3 linked regions of the Canis lupus familiaris genome follow. The protein of the gene in region 3 interacts with the protein of the main gene of each other region in a pairwise test. Links are inferred from orthologs where the notes say so. Each region holds a gene or a part of one and is shown on either strand. Other genes may lie near its edges.

Region 1 (3,743 bases), on a different chromosome or scaffold from region 3:
ATCTTCGACTCTTAATAATTGTTGGCTCAAGTCTGGTTTACAGCTGGTTCCAGTTGGCCACGGAATAGCCCAACCTAGAGGTGATTTTTCTAAAGGACAGGAATGAAAAGCTTTGTGCCAAAACAGCTCAAGAAAAGCCAGAAATCTAGGTATGGACAAGAGATGACTTTTCTCCTTTCAATTCAGTCACCTTCTGAAAGGGTTAATTGAGAAGCTATTTGTTCTACCCAGAAGATAATCTATAACTGAAGAATCTTATCTAGAGATCTTTTTCCTTACCCAGACATACAGTGTTTCTCCTCCAGTCTGTGGAGTCAATTTATAGTCAAAGCTAAATACAAATACTTAACTTTCAAATTTGTTAGTGACGACTTTCTACCAATTAATCCTGACCTCCCTCTGAGCAAATTACGTTCCTAGAACGTTGGGGGTAAAATTCTTAGCACCTGAGTTGCAATGAAACTTGCAAAACTGATAAGAAGCCATCTGCTCTTCCAGACTGAGGCAACAAGCACTTCTGTAACACTGAGGCTAGCCCTCCCCCCCCCCCCCCGCCCCCCATTCCAGCCCCAGGAGGCAAGGTCATTCAGTGCAAAAACAAAACTAACCAAGACAAATGGCTTTCTAATCACTAAAATGATAAAAGAGTAAAACACTTCCATGTCAATCTTGTACAGAGTCCAGGCAGCTGAGTTTTCCCCAAATCAAAATAAAACTTAGAAAGCAGCATTTTCTCCCAAGATTTACTTTATTTGCGTCTGATTAACAAGTGCTTTCAGACATTCTATTCATGTCCTCCTGGCTTTGAAAGGCATATAGTCGTGTGTTTCTCCTCTACTCTGTTCCCCCACTCCAATGGGTCCTTTCTACCCATTTTCAGTCTTTCACTTGCCCTTTACTAAAAGTATCCCCTCGGTCTATGAGGCAAATGAGACAATAAAGGTATGTTTTATCAAAGGGTCGATCTAAACTGAGAAATGGTATAGATATTGTTAAAGATTGGTGCACCTTTCTTCTCATGCTAGCATGCCCTGCCTCCTCCTGTGCTAAAGTTTTCTACGGCTCTGGGTGCACCTTGACCAGTCTGCAATAAAAGTGCAAATCACTCGGAACTGCCACTGGAGAATGGCCGGGTTAGCATTTGTAGAAAAGGCTGAGTAGCTGGACTATCCCAAAGTAACATACACAGACCAACATCGTGGTACCACGGCTCCCATATTTCTGCCAATCTACCTGGAAACGTTTCCAAGATAAATTACCACCCAGGGAGTCACTTCTGGCTGTGGTGAACAAAAACAGGGTTTCTTTCCAGAGGTACCTGACTACACTCTCCCCATCACTTAACTGGTTGTTTTGGGTAGATTTCTCCACCAATGGATAGTTCGGAAAGGGAAGGTGGTGGCGTAGGGCTCAGCAGCAGGACAGATTTTGCTCAGCCAGGGAGCCCGTCTAGTAGTGTGCAACAAGCCAAGGGCAGCACCAAGCCAAGGGCAGCACTCAAAAGTGCAGACCAGCTTTACTCTCTCTCAGGTCAAACTTGGTCACATCTGCCAAACTCCACACACCAAATGTCACCCTGAAAAACATCACAACTGTCTCCAGAATTCTTTAAGAGGAATACCCTCTGAACACAGATGAGGTACAGTATTAGGGGACTTTTAAAGTGGACACATCTAATATCATGACTTCGCACGTGTCTCCCATCATACGCAATGTTTCCAATAACCTGTCCCTCATCTGGACCTTTGGGAACCTCCACGGATTAAAACCAGCCCAGAAAACCGCAGCTTGCCCGGTGTGTACCACCCACGAGACCCACTGTTTCAGTTAACAGAAGGTCATGGTAATCATACACCTGAGTCCCTCAGCACGGATTTTCGCTGGGAGGCGGGGTGGGGGAGGGGGACCCGGACTGACTTCTTGCTCGTCGGTTAAAAGCTAAAGTTCACTCGCAGCCCAGCGAAGGCAACAGACACGGGCTCCGAAGGTCCCCAGTCCCCGGGCGCTACGGCGGCGGCGGCGGCGGCGGGGAGCCCGCGCGTCCTACCTTGGACCTTTCCTTGACGTAGTATTTGCCCAGCCGGCTCCCGCAGTACAGGACGAGCCTGTCGATGAGCGACAGGAGGAAGCTGATGGCCTCGCAGCCCTCCTCGTTGCCCCCGATCCACGTGATCTGGTCGCCCCGCAGGTGCCGCTTAGAGACGCCGGCGCGCGGCCCCGCCAACTGGCCGTCCCGCAGGGCCCCGTTGCAGTGCAGCTGCTTGACGCGTTCCAGGACGCAGTCGCCCACCACCTCGCCGAGGAAGTTGTCCAGGTAGCAGAAGCCGACCTCGTGCAGACAGGGCACGATGTACTCCAGGGCGATTTTCTCCAGATCCAGCCTCATGATGTGTCCCAGGGGCATCTCGCCCTCAGAGCCAAGCTCGGGGATCCCCAGCGTGCACCGAGACCCGGAGCGACCTGCGCGCGCGCAGCCGAGGCGCGGGGAGCGCGGCCCGGGGTTCAGCTACCTGCGGCGGCCACGGTCCCCGAGCCACCGCCGCGCCAGGGAGAGGGGAAAGTTGTTCGAAACTCTGGGAGGCGGGATCCCTTCCCCTTCCGAGACCGGTGGGAGCTGCGCGGGGATCCACGACCTAGCGCCGGACTGGCCCAGCGAGGAGTCGGCGGGCCCCTTTTGGAGATGCGGAGCCGCCACTGGTGCCGCGGCGGCCCCAGGCGGGGAGAGGCGGAGGTCCAGCCCCGGAGCCGGCCGACTCGGCGCGTCACGGGCCCCGCCCCCGGCCCCGCCCCGGCCCCGCCCCGGCCCCGCCCCGGCCCCGCCCCGGCCCCGGCCCGCCCCAGGCCGCGGCTCCGCCCCGCCCCCCGGCCCCGCCCCCGGCCCCCGCCCCGCCCCCGGCCCGGCGCCCACTCCCCGACTACTGCTGCCCGGCGCCAGCCTCGGTTGTTTGTGACTAAAGGACTGGAAAACATACGGAATTTTTAGAATGCTACCGATTTGCATATGTTTTGCATAAAAGCCCATAACAAACTTGAAGGATCCCAACTCTGAAAATGTAAATGAAATTAGCACAGTTTACTGCCACGGTCTGGGCTGGTCACCTCTTGAACAGAATAACAAACTCAGAAACAGATACGTGTGTTGAACAGTGATCCAGGTCTAGCTTTACCTGGTGCCTTGCCTTATTCCTCTTTCATCTGCTGTTTGACCCAGGTCAGGAGACTCAAGCCACTCAGAGAGTGGGATAAATCCAGTTTAAACGAAAATTAAACATTCCCCTAACCCTCGTGTCCCCACCCCCACCCCCCAAAGCCCTGTGTCCTCTCCCTGGGGGGGGGGGGGGGGGACGGGAGAGAGGAGGAGGAGATGTGTACAATGAAGAAATGCTGGATATTATCTGATTGAACCCTGAAAATGCTGTATTTTGCTTCGCTGCATGTTTTCATCCACTTCTCTTTCAAGCTTCTTATTAAAATAGGATGTTCTGAACCTCTGCCTTCAGAATTAATCACATGCTCATGTAACAGCCATATAAGTATACCCCCCAAAAGACACACTAAATTCTAGTCTCCAATCTCACCTTTTCTCCAAGAAACTACACTTTACTCAGGAGGGATGGACACCACCTAAAAGACTTTTTTAGTTATTCAAAGGTAAGCTGATTGCTTTATGGGTTTTTCATTCCCTTTCCTACCAAACACCAGAGATTAGAATCAGGGGGAAAAGATTCCTAAATTGCATGCAA
Region 2 (3,743 bases), on a different chromosome or scaffold from region 3:
AGCCAGGCTGCAGGGTACCCCAGATGCCATGGTGTTCTGGGGGAACCTGGACTCCTGTCACCCTCAGACACCTGGCCAGTGCTGAGGGCTGGTTGCAGCCCTGGACAGGAACACAGACACACCTCCTGCAAAGGCCAAGCCCTGCCTGAAGGAGGAGCCCATGAGTAGCCTCTGTGTGGTGGAGATAAGATGGAAACTACACCTTGCATTCCAAGTGGAGCCCTCCAGCCTCAGGCTGAGCCCTGACCCGAGGTGTGGGGGGAGAGTGCTCCATGTGGAAGTCCTCCAGCTTGAAAGAGGTGGTTGGGAGCCATCAAGAATTTGCAGCAGCTTTCTGAGGCCTCCATGTTGATGCTGGGGGAAGGGGACCGGAACCACCTCCCAACCCCCAGCCAGGGCCTCAGATTGGATACCCAATAAACACCTTTCCCATTTTGAGCACTTGAGATTTGTTTTTGGGGACAGCAGCTTGACCTGCCTGCTGCCTAACAGACTCAGCAAGTGCCTGGCCCACCTCTTTTTGGGCAGAACAAGTCAGCCATTTATTTTCCCCAGAGAAGGAAAGAGTCTCCCACTTTCTGACCTCAAATAACACTAACAGGGCCCTGATCTTGAGCCTAGACCATTGCCACATGTTGGGCTGAGCATTTTGCATGGGTCCTACCAGTGCCTCCGCAGTGCTTGGCTTGCCTGGTGGCAGATGGGAGGTCAGCCTTCCGCAAGGGGTCAGTCCTAGTGTGGCTCCTCACAACGTGTATCACCTAAGCAGTGTTTTAAGCCTTTTTTTTTTTTTTTTAAAGCTAGGACCTATTGTAAGAAACATTTTATCTGGCAACCCAGTATAAGATACAAAAAATATATGTCAGACAAAACTTTAACAATACTTAATATCTGCCATATGCAGCTCACTTTTTTTTTTCTCTCCTGCCAATTCTGTCCTATTATACTGAATTCCCTGCCCATGAACCTGTGGTTTGCAAAACACGGATCTAGGGCAGGTGCCTCCCCCTGGACGTCCTGACCCAGGCTGCAATTTATCTATACTGTGAAGCAGGTAGGAGAGAAGGGTGGCCACAGCTTTCTAAGCGGTGCAAACATTTCAATTCTCTTTCTGCAAAGTTCAAGCCCTACTGTCATAGGGCTGGCAAAAATCCCAGGAGCAACTGGTGACCAGGCAGAAAGGCAGGGAGCAGAGCCGCAAGCTCAATAAACATCTGCCTTCTTAACGAATTTTCCTTGCGCGTCTGATTCGTGCCAGGCACTGTGCTGGGCCTCATTTCTTCTCCCGACCTCTTTTTCGGTGGAAGAACAAATTAGCCATCCCCACTCCCCAGAGAGGTAAAGAGCCTCCCACTGCCTGCCCTTAAATGACACCTCCAGAGCCCGGATCCTGATCCTGGACCATGGCCAGGCGCTGGGCTGAGCGCTTTGCCTGCACCTTCTCAGTACATCCTCCCAGCACACATAGCAGGATCCTAGCCTCCCGACTGCACAGGTGAGTAAACTGCACTCTCTTAGTACATCTTCCCAGCGCACCTAGCAGGATCCTAACCTCCCCACGGTACAAGGTGGGTAAACCGGGGCGGGGTCAGGTCCAAGTGCTCCAATGCCAGCTCAGACCCGCTACCACCTGGGCGATGCGGGTGCTGCTACAGGCCCATGCGTTCAGGGTCGGTCACGCTACTCCGCCCCCTCCCCGGTCCTAGGAGCCATCTGTGGGAGATGAAGGGGCGGGTTGCGCGGGTCCGTAAGGCAGTTCTCAAGGTGTCGGGTCTTAACTTTCCCGGTGCGTCGCCACCCACCCCGGGGATCCCGGAGCCGCTGCTCTCCAGGAATTGGGAATTTCTCGACGCACCCTGGCCGGGCTTCGCGGAGGGCGGGGTCGTGCGGCAAGGGGCCGTCGCGCAAGTGCAGCCCGCGCCTCTGCCGCAAACGGCAGGCCTCACCTGGGGCCAGAGGCTCCCGGAGAAGCGCGACGCCCCGCAGATCGGGAAGCGCCAGCGTCCCTGCCGCCTCCCACCGCCCCGAGGGAGACTGGCAGTCTCTGCCGTCCCGCCTGTCCGCGGCGGGTGGGCACTTCCCTCCACTCCCCGCGACACTTTGCAGACGCTCCCCGGCGCCGGGCATGGGCGCCGCCGCTGTCGGTCCCCTGGCCGGATTCCGCGCGCGGGTGGGTGAGCGCGGGGCTCTGGCCCCTCCGGCCCCGGGCAGCTGTGGGCGGGGGGTGGTGGCCGCCTCTGCACCCGGGACCTCGTGAATCTCCCGCTGAGACCCCCGGCCAACCTCGCTCCCCCTCCCACCCGGGGGACAAAGGGCGGGGGCGGGGGCGCATCCCCAAGCGTGACCTTCCCCAGCACTGCGCACGCGCCCCGCCCCCTCCACCACGGGGGAGGGGCCCTGCTCGCCCACACGAGTGCGGGGGAGGGTCGTGGGGAGGCGCAGCGCGTGGGATGGATCCCCGCCCCATGGCTGGAAGTTGGGGCACGGTCCCCTCCCTGCCGCGCCTCTCGCTTCTTTTGGCTCCGAGGTGACCCGTGATGAGGGGCCGCACCATCCAGGCCAGAAAGTCTCCGCTCGGGCGGCCCCGCGGGGAACCCACTCCTCCCCTCAGGAGCTCGAGGTCTGGGTGCCCAGCCCCCTAGTTCCCTAGAAACCCAGGACTGTGACACCCCAGGCGTTCCCCCTTATGCCACCCCTTCCCCACTTCCTCTGAGATGTGCCTCCATCTGCGGCTCTCCTTTCTGTCCAGTGCCCCTGAGGCGCTCAGCTGCCTGGGTCCACAGGAGGCCACGCCATGAATGACCCAAACAGCCGGAGGAGGACACGTGAGGAAGCTGGGACCCTGCCCCACCCTTGGAGCTCCCCTCCCTGTCCCCTACCACCCTGTCCCCTCCCTCACCGGGGCTGCTGTGGTTGGGGGCTGGTCCCAGGTGCCTTCCCTGGGGTGACCCCTGGCCTCTCCTCTCCAGTGAAGAAAGACGATGAGGCCTTCGAGATCTCCATCCCCTTCGATGAGACGCCCCACCTAGACCCACAGATCTTTTACAGTCTGAGCCCCTCTCGGGGAAACTTCGAGGGTGAGCTGGGGGCGGCGTGGAGGGACCCCAGCCGTCTGGGGTATAGGGCCCTGGAGGCCTTGGGTGTGACCAAGGCTCCCCCCCCTGTCCCTAGAGTCTCCGGAGGCCCCATCCCCGACAGTAGCCCTGATGAATGGTGTCAGGGCCCAGCTGCACATGGCCCTGGAGAGGAACTCCTGGTTACAGAAGCGCATTGAGGACCTGGAGGAGGAGAGGGACTTCTTGCGGTGTCAGCTAGACAAGTTTATATCCTCTGCCCGCATGGATGCAGGTCAGGTGCCTGAGGAGCTGGTCCCTCATGTCTGCTTTGGCCCTCCTCTGGGATTCATGACCCTTCCTCACCTACTCTTCTCCTTTGGCATCTTTTGTCCTTTCCCTGCTCCCCAGGCCATCTCCCAGACCCCAAAGATCAGCTTGCTTCCTTCCTGACTCCTGCCTTTGCTGATGGGCAGGACCCTGTGGCCATGTCAGGGCTTTCCTTTCCCAAATCTTTGGGAAGTCTAACTTCCCTGTTTTGGGGAGTCTAACTTCTCCCTTCTGCATGATGTTCAGCCCTTGCCTGGCTCTTTCCCAGGACTCCATATCCCCCTGTGAATCACCTGACAGCCTGGGCAAGGGCTCTGTTTTCTCAGCATCTGTGTTACTGGGGACCCCTTTGCTCTGGAA
Region 3 (3,743 bases):
AGTTCCAGGATTGAGTTTACAGAACTTGAGTTCAAAGTGGAATTTAACCTTGTATGCCCAGGTGGGGCCTTACCTGGGTACTCAAGACTAGTCAGTGTTATGGCTTATGAGGCCACAGCCTCACCCCCAGAGTCTCCTGTGGAGGCCCTGAGCCCAACAGGATTGAGCCAACTCCACTTGACTTGGTCACCATCACCAGGGTAGAGATTAAGACAAGAAACCAGGTACACACGAGCTCAAGTACTTTCACTACAAAATAATTTATTACAACACAGCTTCAGCGCAAGCCTATGTACAAGCACACATTCCTGACACCCCCAACTAGGGGACCCTTTTCTTCTCCCTGGCCTTTCTGACCTCCTCTATCAAATCTTTCAGATACTGGATCTCCTTAGCTAAAGAATCTGCCCTCTCCTTCAGAGCCTCGTTCTTCTTTTCCAGTTCTTTACACTCACCAGTGAGGGCTTCCTGCTCTGCCCTCTTCTTCTGGCGGTACCTAGTGGCTGCTGTCTTGTTCTGCTCCATTTTTTTCAGTTTCTTATCTAGTTTCTCAACCTTTACTTTTGCGGTCTTCTCTCCAGGAGGGTCATAGGGTTTGGGGCGGGCAGAACCACAGAGGGAACCTGGAGACAGCAGGCTCCTATTTGGAGAGCCCCTGGAGGTAGAGGGGCTATGCTGGGGGGACCCAAGATAGGACTCAGGACTCATACAGATGCCACTGTCATTATCTGAGGGGGCATCTTCCTCCTTTATGCACTGAGGGATCACGGTAATGTAAGCAGTAGAATCTGACTTTCTATCTCCTTCAGAGATATCCACTTCACTGCCTAGCTCTAAACTAAAAGAATGATCTGGAGTGGAGGACAGGGCCCCTGGGGAGAGTGGAAGTGGTTGCAGAAAGGTAAAGGGGGCAATCTGGTCTGTTTTTGGTAAACTTTCTGGGAGATGGCCAATTGGGTTCACGATCTGAGGGGGCTCCTTATTAGTCTCCTGGACTAGGGGGTCAAAGAGATCACACGTGTCATCCAACGTGGCCAAAAGCTCATCTGGCATGGTTTCCAGGTCATCTATACTGAACAGAGTGTCAAAATCAAACTCCTTCAGATCCATTTTCTCCACCATCCAATCTGTCCCGGAGAAGGCATCCTCTGCAAAAGAGTCAAGAAGGAACCCGAGAGGTCAGACGCACACTTCAGCAACAGCCCGGAGACCAGACCCGGCGGCCAACGACCCCCACTCACCCTTGCCGTTGTCTGAGGCACTGACCAACCCATCCAAAGCCAGCCATTCGGAGGAGCCCGCCTTAGCCTTGTCGCTGGAGAACCCATGAGGTTTGAAGTGCTTGGCCACCTCCAGGTAGTCGTCTAAGAGACCTAGGCTTTCCTCAGCCCCCAAACCCGACTGGTCGAAGGGGGACATCAAGTCCCCCACCAACACCTCGCTGCTCAGGAAACTCATCTCGGCCATGTCGCGGGACTTTACTGGAATCGAGGAATGTGCTTAATTCGAAGGTGTCTTTGTCGGTTACAGCAACGCTGCTGCTGGATGCCGTGAAAAGCCTGAAACGGAAGCAGAAACCGAAACCCCTTCGACATCGGCCGGTCCGGGAAGCTCATCCCTTCCTCCCGGGGGCAGGACGGCCAGACTGGAACTCCACTCGGGAGCAGAGGCTCGGGGACACGTGGCCCCGGGGCCATGGCTTCCACCTTCCCCGCGGCCCCGTCGGGCCGCCCAAGATGGACGCCCTCGGGGCCGGGCCGCTCCTCCCCCCGCCGCCGGAGGAGGCGCGCCCGGCTCATGTCCAAATACGGCCCAGGCCGCCCGGCCCCGCCCACGGCCGCCCGTGACTCACGCTGCGCCGCCGCCGCCCTGCCCGGCCGCCATCTTGGCCCCTGCCACGTTTCGCGGGGGGCCGGGCGGGAAGCCGTCGGGGGCCGCGGCCGGGGCCGGGGCCGCCGAGGGCTCGCTTCTCCCCGCCGGGCCGCACTCTCCTGACCCAGAAGCGTCGGCGTCTCGAGGACACCCAAACAGGGGCCACGCGTCCCGGGCGCTCGTAAAGCCGCTTCCCCCTACGCGGCACCGCCCCGCCCCGCCGCAGGCCGCGCCCAGGCGGGCCGACTGCCCTCGCCGACCCGGGGGAGCACGGCGCGGGCGGCCCCGTACTTACGCCATGGCTTAAGCCGCTGGGGGGTGCCGCTGCAGAGCCTGGTGCTGCTGCCGCCGCTGCAAAGGCCAATGCTGCCGCAGGCACTGCTGCCTCTAATACGCCATGGCGGCCGCGGACCCTGGGGGATTGGAGGAGGGAAGGCGCACGCTTGCCACAGGGATCTACATCTACAGGCGGGAGGAAGGGAAATGGCCGCGCCGCGCCGATCGAGGGTCCTTTATAGACTTTGCCTCTATGAGGACGCATCACACCGCACATCCTTCCGCCGCGGTCACGTGACCCGCGCCTCCCACCCACCCGTCTTCGCGATCCGACGCCCCTATCGTGTCCGACCAGCGACTTTTAGGTCCACGGCGTAGCTGTGAAGAGAAGAGTTGTTACTTCCAACGTCTCGAGAAAGGAAAAAGGCGCGCTACTTTGCAAGGCTACTAAGATCAAAGAGCCTCTCCTCCCTCTGCCGCCGGGAGCGCGGAGGGATTCCTCAGACACACCTCGCTTCCGGCGTCAGCCTGGGGGGCGGGGAGAGAAGTCTTTCACCTCAAGGAAGGTTTTTATTGTGAAGTCAGAGGCCGCCTGGTTATCGCGCGAGATGCTGGCGGAGAGCGAGCGTCGAGCTGATTGGTTAGACATGGTGAGTCATATATATCTCGGTTTCCTATTGGCTCAGACCCCGGGATGGGCGGGCCGCTCCGAGCGGGAGGCCGGGTCCGAGCGGGAAGGGGCGGAGCGGCCAGCGGGGTTCCCGCCGCCGGGCTGTGTCCTCCGTGGCCGCGTCTCGGTGAATCCGCTCTGTAGTGGCTTCTTGAGCCTGGCGTACGCGAGGCTGTCCGAGACGACCCTGGCTCCTCCCCCGGGCTTCTGGAGCCCGAGGAGTCCCAAACGGCGACATCAGGCCCTGGCCCCTGTGGTCCCTTCCTGCCACCCTCCGTCCAGCTCCGAATTAGAGACCCAAGTTCAGGCCCGAGATGAAACTAGGCAAAAGGAAGTGGAATTTCGGGTGCGTTTTCATCACACGCAAGCACCGAAGTAGCTGAAAGGGGAGACTGAGGGCCTCAGTCGGGTTCTAAACGCTCCCCACACACCGTCAGGGGCCAACGCCGCGTCCTTCCCGTGAACTCTCCAGTCCGGTCGGGAAGGTGCACAATCTAGCCCAGTTAGTGACTCTCGCATACCGGCCTGCCAAAACGTTTCTGTTAAAAGTATGCAGTCTATCACAGGGAACTTCTTTTGGTTTATACAGATGCAGTTCCCCTAAGAGATTTTGTTAAACTGGTATCTGTCCCTCTCCCAATTCTGCAACCTGGTGGGGGGAGAATCTTGAGCACCCACGCCCACTCACGGAGGTTTGGAGGTTCGTGTTTGGAAGCGGCGGTCCAGGTCAAGGCCTGCAACTTGCTCTCCACCGGAGAGCTGTGAAGAGTGCCGGGAAAGGTCTCCACTATCCTCCGTCTCCTTCAGGCCCCTGGAGGGCAGAAACCTTGGAGTTTCTGCCTCCGTTTTAGTGGGCCATAGAACTGTAGGAGGGCTGTGAGGTCAAAAATTGGGGGGGGGGGGGGGGGGGCGGACACTGTCCTTG

The links.
Region 1: the proteins of ATF4 (region 3) and EGLN3 interact in a two-hybrid assay, tested with the Homo sapiens proteins (2 studies listed by BioGRID). The link is inferred for Canis lupus familiaris from reciprocal best matches to the Homo sapiens genes ATF4 and EGLN3.
Region 2: the proteins of ATF4 (region 3) and CCDC106 interact in binary tests that used the Homo sapiens proteins (3 or more experiments, as listed by UniProt). The link is inferred for Canis lupus familiaris from reciprocal best matches to the Homo sapiens genes ATF4 and CCDC106.

The regions. Positions count from the first base shown.
Region 1 is NC_049229.1:13,056,957-13,060,699, forward strand, and holds the start of EGLN3 (prolyl hydroxylase EGLN3), read right to left. Parts: upstream 2,741-3,743; 5' UTR 2,405-2,740; coding exon 2,048-2,404; intron 1-2,047. UniProt on the Homo sapiens protein: Prolyl hydroxylase that mediates hydroxylation of proline residues in target proteins, such as PKM, TELO2, ATF4 and HIF1A. Target proteins are preferentially recognized via a LXXLAP motif.
Region 2 is NC_049222.1:102,860,731-102,864,473, reverse strand, and holds the start of CCDC106 (coiled-coil domain-containing protein 106), read left to right. Parts: upstream 1-1,348; 5' UTR 1,349-1,495; intron 1,496-1,913; exon of another isoform or gene 1,914-2,174; intron 2,175-2,243; exon of another isoform or gene 2,244-2,620; intron 2,621-2,749; 5' UTR 2,750-2,794; coding exon 2,795-2,825; intron 2,826-2,969; coding exon 2,970-3,077; intron 3,078-3,171; coding exon 3,172-3,348; intron 3,349-3,743. Other genes in the region: ZNF581 (zinc finger protein 581), read left to right, coding at 1-1. UniProt on the Homo sapiens protein: Promotes the degradation of p53/TP53 protein and inhibits its transactivity.
Region 3 is NC_049231.1:26,489,987-26,493,729, forward strand, and holds ATF4 (cyclic AMP-dependent transcription factor ATF-4), read right to left. Parts: upstream 2,382-3,743; 5' UTR 2,168-2,381; intron 1,560-2,167; 5' UTR 1,468-1,559; coding exon 1,242-1,467; intron 1,149-1,241; coding exon 322-1,148; 3' UTR 237-321; downstream 1-236. UniProt on the Homo sapiens protein: Transcription factor that binds the cAMP response element (CRE) (consensus: 5'-GTGACGT[AC][AG]-3') and displays two biological functions, as regulator of metabolic and redox processes under normal cellular conditions, and as master transcription factor during integrated stress response (ISR).